Macaca mulatta: one gene and its partners. The protein of the gene in region 2 purifies or fractionates together with the protein of the main gene of each other region. This does not show direct contact. Links are inferred from orthologs where the notes say so. Each region holds a gene or a part of one and is shown on either strand. Other genes may lie near its edges.

Evidence for each region.
Region 1: the proteins of TSSC4 (region 2) and PRPF6 purify together in Homo sapiens (affinity purification with mass spectrometry; 3 studies listed by BioGRID and IntAct, counting the BioPlex papers as one, with this or other methods). This does not show direct contact. The link is inferred for Macaca mulatta from reciprocal best matches to the Homo sapiens genes TSSC4 and PRPF6.
Region 3: the proteins of TSSC4 (region 2) and EAPP purify together in Homo sapiens (affinity purification with mass spectrometry; 3 studies listed by BioGRID and IntAct, counting the BioPlex papers as one, with this or other methods). This does not show direct contact. The link is inferred for Macaca mulatta from reciprocal best matches to the Homo sapiens genes TSSC4 and EAPP.

What each region holds. Positions count from the first base shown.
Region 1 is NC_133415.1:116,888,251-116,891,894, reverse strand, and holds part of PRPF6 (pre-mRNA-processing factor 6), read right to left. Parts: intron 2,213-3,644; coding exon 2,050-2,212; intron 1-2,049. UniProt on the Homo sapiens protein: Involved in pre-mRNA splicing as component of the U4/U6-U5 tri-snRNP complex, one of the building blocks of the spliceosome.
Region 2 is NC_133419.1:2,307,526-2,311,269, reverse strand, and holds the start of TSSC4 (U5 small nuclear ribonucleoprotein TSSC4), read right to left. Parts: upstream 2,598-3,744; 5' UTR 2,550-2,597; intron 1,519-2,549; exon of another isoform or gene 1,378-1,518; intron 1,027-1,377; 5' UTR 870-1,026; intron 710-869; 5' UTR 687-709; coding exon 1-686. UniProt on the Homo sapiens protein: Protein associated with the U5 snRNP, during its maturation and its post-splicing recycling and which is required for spliceosomal tri-snRNP complex assembly in the nucleus.
Region 3 is NC_133412.1:107,640,993-107,644,636, reverse strand, and holds part of EAPP (E2F-associated phosphoprotein), read left to right. Parts: intron 1-641; exon of another isoform or gene 642-1,636; intron 1,637-1,946; exon of another isoform or gene 1,947-2,440; intron 2,441-2,690; coding exon 2,691-2,808; intron 2,809-3,644. UniProt on the Homo sapiens protein: May play an important role in the fine-tuning of both major E2F1 activities, the regulation of the cell-cycle and the induction of apoptosis. Promotes S-phase entry, and inhibits p14(ARP) expression.

The DNA of each region.
Region 1 (3,644 bases), on a different chromosome or scaffold from region 2:
AGAGGCTGTCTCTGGCCAGGAGCGGTGGCTCAGGCCTGTAATCCCAGCACTCTCGGAGGCCGTGGCGGTGGATCACGAGGTCGGGAGACCAAGACCATCCTGGCTAACACAGTGAAACCCCGTCTCTACTAAAAATACAAAAAAACTAGCCGGGCTTGATTACCCAGGCGTGGTGGCGGCGCCTGTAGTCCCAGCTGCTCAGGAGGCTGAGGCAGGAGAATGGCATGAACCCAGGAGGCAGAGCTTGCAGTGAGCTGAGATCGCGCCACTGCACTCCAGCCTGGGTGACAGAGCGAGACGCTGTCTCAAAAAAAAAAAAAAAAAATTGGGCCAGGCGCAGTGGCTCACGCCTGTAATCCCAGCATTTTGGGAGGCCGAGGTGGGTGGATCACTTGAGGTGTGGTGTTCAAGATCAGCCTGGCCAACATAGAGAAACCCCGTCTCTACTAAAAACACAAAAATTAACCAGGCGTGGTGGCACATGCCTGTAGTCCCAGCTACTCAGAAGGCTGAGGCAAGAGGATCGCTTGAACCCGGGAGGCAGAGGTTGCAGTGAGCCAAGATGGTGCCATTGCACTTCAGACTGGGTGACAAAGTGGGACTTCATCTCAAAAAAAAAAAAAGGCTGGGCACAGGGGCTCACGCCTGTAATCCCAGCACTTTGGGAGGCCAAGGCGGGAGGATCACCTGTGGTCAGGAGTTTGAGACCAGCCCAGCCAACATGGGGAAACCCCATCTCTACTAAAAATACAAAAATTGGCTGGGCGTGGAGGCACACACCCGGTATTCCCGGCTACACAGGAGGCTGAGGCAGGAGAATCACTTGAACCCAGGAGGCAGAGGTTGCAGTGAGCCAAGATTGCGCCCCTGTACTCCAGTCTGGGCGACAGAGCAAGACTCTATCTCAAAAAAAAAAAAAAAAAAAAATTTGTATAGAAGCCACCTGCATAGGCCAGGCGCAGTGGCTCACGCCTGTAATCCCAGCACTTTAGGAGGCGGAGGCAGGTGGATCACAAGGTCAGGAGATGGAGACCATCCTGGCTAACTCGGTGAAACCCCACTTCTACTAAAAATACAAAAAGAAATTAGCCGGGCGAGGTGGTGGGCGCCTGTAGTCCCAGCTACTGGGGAGGCTGAGACGAGAATGGCGTGAACCTGGGAGGCGGAGCTTGCAGTGAGCTGAGATCACGCCACTGCACTCCAGCCTGGGCGACAGAGCAAGACTCCATCTCAAAGACAACAACCACAACCACAAAAAACAAAACAAAAAAAAAGAAGCCACCTGCACAGATTGGCTTCAGAACAGCCCCCGACCAGCACTTGTTCTGGGCCCAGTTCAACAGCAGCATCTACTGCACGCTTCCAGTGACAAGAGAAACCACAGAAAGAAAAATCAACAAACTGCCCACAAAAGCTCTATCCTAGCAGGAATCCCTGGATGGAGTCAGGTTCCCTGGCAGGGACACCGCCCGCCATCATCTGGCCTGAGCTGACGGCACACGCTGCCTTGGGGGCAGGAGACGCAGCCTTGTCAGCAGCAGGGAGGAGTCCAATCAACGTGGGGCTCCGATGCCTTCTCAGGAGAGAAAGTGAGTAACACCCACAAAGGGTGTGCACATGCCAGCTGCCGGCTCCGCTCTTCACAGAGACCATCTCCAGAGCCCCAGGACACAGGCTTTGAGCTACTATGGTTCTCACCCTGCAGATGAGGGAAGCCTGGACCACAGAGTGACTGCCCAATGCATCCAAAATCACACACTGGAAAAAGGCAGGAGTGAGGGCTCAACCCCAACATCCCTTCTGGGATGGGAACTCGCCCACCACAGTATCCCTCCCCCATGGGGGTCCAAGGGCAGAGGCAACGCAACCTGAGAAAAGGCCTGAAAAATGTCCCTGGTTCCTTATCCACTCTCACCAAAAGCCTGAGCCAGGAGCAGGAAAGCTGCTGAGAGGAGGGGCCCCAAGGAGGGAGAAAGCAGCACCTCCGAGGGAGGGGCCAGAGACCCCAGGAGCCCCTGCTGGTGGAAGGCACCTCCGAGGGAGGCTCACCTTTCCGAAGAACCCGCTTCTTTGCGCGAATGTCTGTTTCCAGCTCTGCTGCTCTGATGTAAATCCTGACAGACTGTGGGAGATGACGGACAGCTTGGGCTACCACGGCCTTGGCTGTGTCCCCAGGCTGCAACCTGGCTGCTTCCAGCCAGACATCTTCACTCTGCGAGGCAAGAGATAAGATCAATAAGGCTCAGGGCAGGCTGGAAGCCACAACAGGGCAGCAGGCACAGATCTCTAGAGCAGATCCTCGGGCCCCAGATTTTACAAAAGCCAATCAGCTCAGCCTCTAACACACCTGCACCAGGAGTCACCCCCTTATAACACTCGCGGACATGGCTACCATATGTCTGAATGAAGAAAACATAATGGCTGGGTGCAGTGGCTCACGCCTGTAATCCCAGGACTTTGGGAGGCCAAGGCAGGTGGATCATGAGGTCAGGAGTTTGAGACCAGCCTGGCCAACAAGGCAAAACCCTGTCTCTACTGAAAATACAAAAATTAGCCAGGTGTGGTGGCACGTGCCTGCAATCCCAGGTACTCAGGTGGCTGAGGCAGGAGAATCGCTTTAACCTGGGAGGCAGAGGCTGCAGTGAGCCAAGATCATGCCATTGCACTCCAGCCTGGGCAACAGAGCGAGACTTAAAAAAAAAAAAAGAACACATAAAACACCACTTGGTTGGCCGGGCGCGGTGGCTCAAGCCTGTAATCCCAGCACTTTGGGAGGCCGAGACGGGCGGATCACTAGGTCAGGAGATCGAGACCATCCTGGCTAACAGGGTGAAACCCCGTCTCTACTAAAAAAATACAAAAAGCTAGCCGGGCGACGTGGCGGGCGCCTGTAGTCCCAGCTACTCGGGAGGCTGAGGCAGGAGAATGGCGTAAACCCGGGAGGCGGAGCTTGCAGTGAGCTGAGATCCGGCCACTGCACTCCAGCCCGGGGACAGAGCGAGACTCCGTCTCAAAAAAAAAAAAAACAAACACCACTTGGTGAAAAGAGCACGATTTGCCTGCAGGATAACTCCACGGACAAAGCGGAGACTGTGCAACTGCTTGGGTAGTTCTTTTTTGCTGTTGTTTTTTGAGATGATGTCTCACCCTATCCCCCAGGCTGGAGAGCAGTGGCATCATCTCAGCTCACTGCAACCTCCACCTCCCAATTAGCTGGGATTACAGGCACCTGTCACCACACCTGGCTAACTTTTGTATTTTTAGCAGAGACAGGGTTTTGCCATGTTGGCCAGGCTGGTCTCGAACTCCTGACCTCAGGTGATCCACCCGCCTCAGCCTCCCAAAGTGCTTGAGATTACAGGCGTGAGCCACCATGCTTAGCTGCCATTAGGTGGGTGAAGAGCTGACCAACTGAGCTCTTTATAATGAAGCTTAGCCTGCCATTAAACCGTGGTGGATTCAGGCGCGGTGGCAGGTGCCTGTGGTCCCAGCTACTCTGGAGGCTGAGACAGGACAATGGCATGAACCCGGGAGGTGGAGCCTGCAGTGAGCCAAGATCGTGCCACTGCACTCCAGCCTGGGTGACAGAGCGTGACTCTGTCTCAAAAAAAAAACAAAAAAACCAAAAAACAGTGGTGGATTAG
Region 2 (3,744 bases):
TTCCTCTCGTGTCTGGCCTCGACGCCTCGGACTGGTTTGGTGAAGACGACCCTCCCCGCCCCACAGCTGGAGGGGTCCTGGTTGAAGGAGGACACACAGTCAGTGGGGGCAGCCAGGCTCTGGGAGCCCAGGAAGGCCAGGGCGGCGGCCTGATTGCTCTGCTCGCTGACCTCGGTCACATCTTCTAGGCTGTACTTGGTCCAGCGCTCGGGGTGTGCCACGTAGTCAGGGACCGGAGGCACCCTTGGGGAGGCGGGGCTCCGACGGGCCCCGCCCAGGCCTTCCACTGGAGACCGGCCTGAGGGCGCTAGGGGCTGCTTGAAGCCTCCATTGTCACTCATGCTTGTGTGGGCCACAGAGGATGGAGCCCTCCTGGCCGCTCCCTCCAGGCAGTCAAAGATGTCACGGCTGCGCTGGGAGAAGGTGGAGCTCATGCCTCTCAGATGGAATGGCTGCACCGTGGCCGGGAGGAGGCCTGACGGGGGTGAGGGTGGTTCATCAGGACCTGAATCCTCCTCCCCAGGCAGCCCCAGCGGGGACAGTGCTTCCACTTCAGCACCACCGGGCAAGCTGAGGTCAGAGTCCGAGTCGCTGAGGGAGACTGTGTCGGAAGGCAGCGTGTCATACTCCGTCCCGTGCTCGCCCTCCACGCTGGGGGACGGCTCACCTGTCCCTGCATCAGCCATGGGTCCCCAGGGCCACGCCACACCTAAACCAAAACGGCCCAGGAAGTTTGTCTCTCAGGAGGAAAAGTATTGAGAATGAGTTCCCCCTGCAGATCCACTGCCCCTGGACAAGTAGAGAATCAACTGACAGAACCGTCCCACACAGGGTGGAGTCCCGCCTCCCCCTCCAAGCCCTCCTCTCACCTCTCTTGGCTGCTGGGTGCCAGTGGTTGACACTGGAGTGTGACTGGACAGCCAAGTGGGCCAGGTGAATGGAGCCCTGCTGAAGGTCCTCAGTGGCACAGGCGTGGTCGTCTCAGGCCTGGGAGTGCCCCAGCATTGCCGCTGTTCAGCTGCTCAACTGCAGGTGGGTGGGGTGGGGGAGAGGACCAACCTCAGACCAGAGCACACATGTGTGAAACAGGTTGTGTCCAGTGCCAGCACATTGTCACCCCTTAAGGTGCCAGGCAGGACCGACCTAAGTCTGGGTTTTCAGAGCCCCTGACAGGCTAGGACTCAGGGTAGGGACTTTTGACTCGTTACCTCATTTAATCGTGCCAACCCTCTGCAGGCAAGCTTGGAGCTACTAAGCGATTTTAGTAGTAAGCAGCCACCCAGGGCTTAAACCCAGGGCCGAGATCAGGCAGGAAGGCCACTTATAAGCTGCTTGCTGTGCAGGGTGAGCAGTTGGTACTCCACAAAGAGCCGGCACCTTCCTGATCCATGGGGAAAAGGTTTGCTCCTATTTGCTGGAAGATCCCCGGGAGCTCCCAAGGAATCTGCAGCCAAGGCCCTGGCATCTGAGGGTCAAGCTCTCAGGAAAGTGGGGTGTCGACCATCACCTTGAGCAGCCCTGCTAGGCAGAAGCAAATCCCCGCAGCTCCTGGAGCGACCTCCAGTGACCTTCCTCCTGTAACACTCAGCACATACCTTGCCTTTCCAGCTGGGCAGACAAATGCTGCCTCCTGTACCCATTTAGCGGTAGAGTGACTAGGTGCCTCAGAGCTTGCGTTTCCAAGCAAAAAAGACGGCCCATCCACACCCTTCTTCACTGTCCTCGGCCATCCATCCACTGACTCCTCTCCTGCTACCAACACTCCTTGCCCGCCCAGAGTGACCTGTGTCTTGTGCACCCAACAAGGATGGGGTCAGGGGTACTATTAGGGACTGTCAGTGCCCTCCACCAGGTCAAACACAGGAAGGACCTCAATTCCTCTGAGGCCTGACTCTCCTCAGTGAAGAAGCCACCCCAGGGAAAGGCGATACCCAGTACCCCCCACACTGATGACCGTTTTAAAACTGGCAGGAATGGGGCGGGGGCCATAATTTGCCCAAGTCACACAGTATGTTGCAGACGAAGCTGGAGTTCCAACCAGACCCCTGCTTCCCAGATTCGCACTCCCGTCCTCTGCAGCAGAACGCCGCCGCGGCCAGAAGCAGCCTGGTCAGCGGGGCACTCCGAGGGGGAGCGGGGATCGGGCTGCAAGACAGGGACTCCAGGAGTCCGTTCTCGGGGTTCTCGGCGAGATCCGGCAATGAGTGGAAGGGCAGAGTTGACTCCTTCATGTCTGGAGACTGAAGGAAGCCGTCTGTTTCTCCACATGAATGCAGAGCCGGGCCTTTCTCCACTCTATGTGCCAGCAAGACCTCCCCGCCAGGGAAAGAACGAACTCTCAGTGCCAAGTTGGCTCTCGGTGCGAAGTCGGGCTGGACAGGCCCGGGTCCGGGCCTCAAGAGGATGCTGTGGGTGCCAAGGGCCCGGTCGCAAGGTACGGGGGTTGGCAAGCACAGCGGGGCCTCCGAGCTCAATTTAAAGCTGCGCTCGGTGACCTTCCGGAGGCTCGGCCGGCCACCGTGGCCCGTCCTCCATCAGCACAAACCTACCGGCTCAAGGATGCACGGCAATCTCCATCTTGGTCGGCGCCGCACGTCCGCGCGGCGCGCTCAGCCCTCTGGGAAACCGAGTGCTCTGCCGGCGGAGCGCCGCGGTTTCCGCACCTGCAGAACTACAACTCCCACAAGGCACTGGGCCTCCACTCCCGACGCCTGTCGGGATGTGTAGCCCTGTGCGCATGCGCCCGCCCCTCTACGCCCCGGCCCTTGGGTCCGGCTCGGAAGCGGCCCCGGAAACGACGGCATTTGTTGGGGAACCAAGACCGGAATTGACCAAGAAGAACAGGAAGAGGAGGGGCCAGGCCTGCAATTCCCAGAATGCTCGACGGCTAACCGACAACCGGGCCGGCTTCCCGTGGTCCCAGCGCCACCTGCCGGAAACCGCGAGAACAGCGGCCGCCCCAGGCAGGAAGTGCATCATCTCGTATGGAGAACGAATGCCGTTCCCAGCACTTCCGGTCATGACCGGAAGCGGTAACTGTCGCTCCTCCTGGGCTTCGTCAATGCAGCGAGGCGGGGCTCCCCGGGATCCCACGGTCCCGCTCAGGCCAGACGCAGAGGCGGTCCCAGCCCGAGATGAAGACGCGGGGTCGTGGCCGCTGGGTCACGGGTGAAGGGGGCTTTACCCGCTGGTTGGGCCGACGCTTTCCCACCCCTAGGGGTTTACTGGGCCCTGGCCGCAAACTTGTGGGGCGTCGTCCTCACACAATTGCCCGGCCACCCTGACACCTCTGGGCCCTCAGCTCTGGTGCACTGGTCCGGGCTCCGGGAGGCACTGAGACGTCCCCCGAGGGCTCTGCGGGGAAGCTGGGGCCAGGTCCCTGGTCCTTCCGGGCAGGATGGAGGCCGCTGAATGCTCAAGCTTCCAAGTCAGCGTGGCTGGGTGGGCGGCAGCCGGGAAGGTTTGGCCTCCGCCGTGCTTGGGAGCCTGTCCAGGGGGCAGGTCAGATGCCCGCCCTGAAAGGGAAGACGAGGGCCCAGGTTCTCCCTTCGACAAGCCGCGTCTCCCTTGGCCACTGGCCCTGTTGGCACCTTGTGCTCCTTCTCAGCTGGGAGAGTTCATGCCCCACACAGTCAAGGAATCTGAGTTCCCCGTGGCTGCTAGACCTCTGGTCCCTCTGAAAGGCTCGAGAGAGAACTCCCCCAGGGCCTGCTGTCCTGGCATCCGCTGGGAAATAGGATTCAA
Region 3 (3,644 bases), on a different chromosome or scaffold from region 2:
CTCCTCCTCCCAGGTTCATGCCATTCTCCTGCCTCAGCCTCCCGTGTAGCTGGGACTACAGGCGCCCGCCACCACGACCGGCTAATTTTTTTGTATATTTAGTAGAGACGGGGTTTCATCATGTTAGCCAGAATGGTCTCGATCTCCTGACCTTGTGATCTGCCCGCCTCGGCCTCCGAAGTGCTGGGATTATAGGCGTGAGCCAACCGCGCCCAGCCTTGTTTATTTATTTTTTAGGCAGAGTGCCACTCTGTCACCCAGGCTGGAGTGTGGTGACACAGTCTTCGCTCACTATAGCCTCTGCCTCCTGGGTTCAAGCGATTCTGGTGCCTCAGCCTCCCTGGTAGTTGGGACTACAGGCGCACACTACTGTACCTGGTTACTTTTTGTATTTTTAGAAGAGACAGGGTTTCGCCATGTTGGCCATGGTGGTTTGAAACTCCTGATCTCAGGTTGTCTGCCCACTTTGGCCTCCCAAAGTGCTGGGATTACAGGCATGAGCCAGCACTCCCTGCCTGCTAGAATATATTCAAAAAGTCTAGTGTATGTAGATGGCCATAGTGTTTTTTTTGTTTTTTTTTTTTTTTTTTTTTTTTTTGTAGAGATGGGGTCTTGCTTTGTTACTTAGGCTGGTGTCGAATTCCTGGCTTCAAGCGATCCTCCCAAAATGCTGGGATTACAGATGTGAGCCACTGTGTCGGACCTCATACTGTGTTTTTTTTTTTTTCAATTTACTTTTGAAATATTTTTGTTCTAATTTTAGTAGCATTTTATATGTGAGAATGCATGGAGAATTCATACATCAAAAATAATTTATATTCTTGGCTTGTTTTGAGTGGCTCTTTTGAGTTTCTGAATTCTCATTGTTTGAACTTAGTCCTTGAAATACCAGTTTTGGGTAAATAAACAATTTTTGCCTCCTTTGTCATTTTATTGCCTTATTAGTTGGAGAAGAACTTTATTTTTTACATTTTTGTTGAATTTTTTACTTTTTTAGAGATAGGTCTCACTCTGTCACCGAGGCTCCAGCAGTGCAGTGGTGCAATTATAGCTTACTACATCCTCAGACTCCTAGGCTCAAGCCGTCCTCCCAGTTCAGCTTCCCTAGTAGCTAGGACTACAGGTGTGCTAGGACTACAGGTGTGCCTGGCTAATTTTTAATTTTTATTTGTGTAGAGATGGGGTCTCATTATGCTGGCCAGGCTGGTTTTGAACTCCTGGCCTCAAGTGATCCTCTTGTCTCAGCCCCTCAAAGCTCTAGAATTATAGGTGTGAACTACCGCACCCCACCTGGACAAGCACTTGTTTAGATGAAGGGTTTTTTTAACTTTTTTTTTTTGAGACAGAGTTTCGTTTTTGTTGCCCAGGCTGGAGTGCAATGGCACAATCTCGGCTTACCGCAACCTCCACCTCCTGAGTTCAAGTGATTCTCCTGCCTCAGCCTCCTGAGTAGCTGGGATTACAGGCATGCTCCACCATGCCCGGCTAATTTTGTAGTTTTAGTAGAGACAGGGTTTCTTCATGTTGGTCAGGCTGGTCTCAAACTCCCAACCTCAGTTGATCTTCCCCCCTTGGCCTCCCATAGTGCTGGGATTACAGGCATGAGGCACTGCGCCTGGCCTCTGGCCTTTTTTAACTTGTTTTTTTTTTTTTTTTTTTGAGACGGAGTCTGGCTCTGCCGCCCAGGCTGGAGTGCAGTGGCCGGATCTCAGCTCACTGCAAGCTCCGCCTCCCGGGTTCCCGCCATTCTCCTGCCTCAGCCTCCCGAGTAGCTGGGATTACAGGCGCCCGCCACCTCGCCCGGCTAGTTTTTTGTATTTTTTAGTAGAGACGGGGTTTCACCGTGTCAGCCAGGATGGTCTCGATCTCCTGACCTTGTGATCCGCCCGTCTCGGCCTCCCAAAGTGCTGGGATTACAGGCTTGAGCCACCGCGCCCGGCCTTAACTTGTTTTTTTTTTGGAGACAGAGTTTTCGCTCTTTTGCAGAGGTTGGAGTGAAGTGGCACGATTTCAGCTCACTGCAACCTCTGACCCCCTACCCAGATTCAAGCGATTCTCCTGTGTCAGCCTCCCAAGTAGCTAGGATTATAGGTGCCTGCCACCAGGCCTGGCTAATTTTATATTTTATTTTATTTTTTTTCTTTTTTGTTGAGACAGAGTCTCGCTCTTGTCACCCAGGCTGAAGTGCAGTGGCATGATCTCGGCTCACTGCAACCTCTGCCTCCTGGGTTCAAGCAATTTTTCTGCTTCAGGCCTCCAAGTAGCTGGGATTACAGGTGCCCGCTACCATACCCAGCTAATTTTTGTATTTTTAGTAGAGACAGGTTTCACCATGTTGGCCAGGCTGGTCTCAGACTCCTGACCTCAGGTGATCTGCCCGCCTTGGTGTCCCAAAGTGCTGGGATTACAGGCGTGAGCCACCGCCCCTGGCCCTAATTTTGTACTTTTAGTAGAGACAGGGTTTTGCTATGTTGTCCAGGCTGGTCTCGAACTCATGACGTCAGGTGATGCACCCACCTTGGCCTCCCAAAGTGCTAGGATTATAGGTGTGAGCCACTGCGTCCGTCCCTTTTAAAACTTTTTAGGGAAAATAAAAATAAATGTGTAGCTTGGGAAATGAGACTATTCATTTAAAGAAGTGTGAACTTGACACATGATTCTTAGCCATATCCTAACATTTTCAAAATTAGTACAGGTGACCAAGAAAAAAAAGAAGAAACAACACAAGATTCCAACAAATGACGAATTACTGTATGATCCTGAAAAAGATAACAGAGATCAGGCCTGGGTTGATGCACAGAGAAGGGGGTAAGAACTTAATGTTTAGAATCTTTAGGAAAAAATGATTGAAAGATGATTTTTACTACATTCACATTTTGAATATATGTGTATATGTTTACACAAACACATACACACACACAAACAAAAAAGTTTGAGGAAAAAACTGCTCAATAGTTTATTTTGAAAATAACCAGCAAATTTTAGTGAGACAATTTATTTTTAAATTTTAAATTTTATATTTTATTTTATTATTATTATTTTTTGAGACGGAGTCTTGCACTGTCACCTGGGCTGGAGTGTGGTGGCGCGATCTCGACTCACTGCAACCTCTGTCTCCCGGGTTCAAGAGATTTTCCTGCCTCAGCCTCCTGAGTAGTTGGGATTACAGGCGCCCGCCACCGCGCCCAGCTAATTTATTGTATTTTTAGTAGAGACAGGGTTTCACCATGTTGGCCAAGCTGGTCTCAAACCCCTGACCTCGTGATTCACCCACCTCGGCTTCCCAAAGTGCTGGGATTATAGGCGTGAGCCCCTGCACCTGGCCCGACAATTGTTTTATTTTTTAAAAAAACTCGTTGAATTCAGGCTGTGTTAGTCAATCTTTCCTTCAAGAAAAACTGACTTTTTTTTTTCAGATGTCGTTTTAAATTACTTTGAGATTCAGAGTTTATGTGGATGAGCCAGGGTAGTGGCTTATGCCTGTAATCCCAGCCACTTTGGGAGGCTGAGGCAGGTGGATCACCTGAGGTCGGGAGTTTGAGACCAGCCTGGTGAACATGGTGAAACCCTGTCTCTACTAAAAATACAAAAATTAGTGGGGCAATGGTGGTGCACACCTGTAATTCCAGCTACTCAGGAGGCTG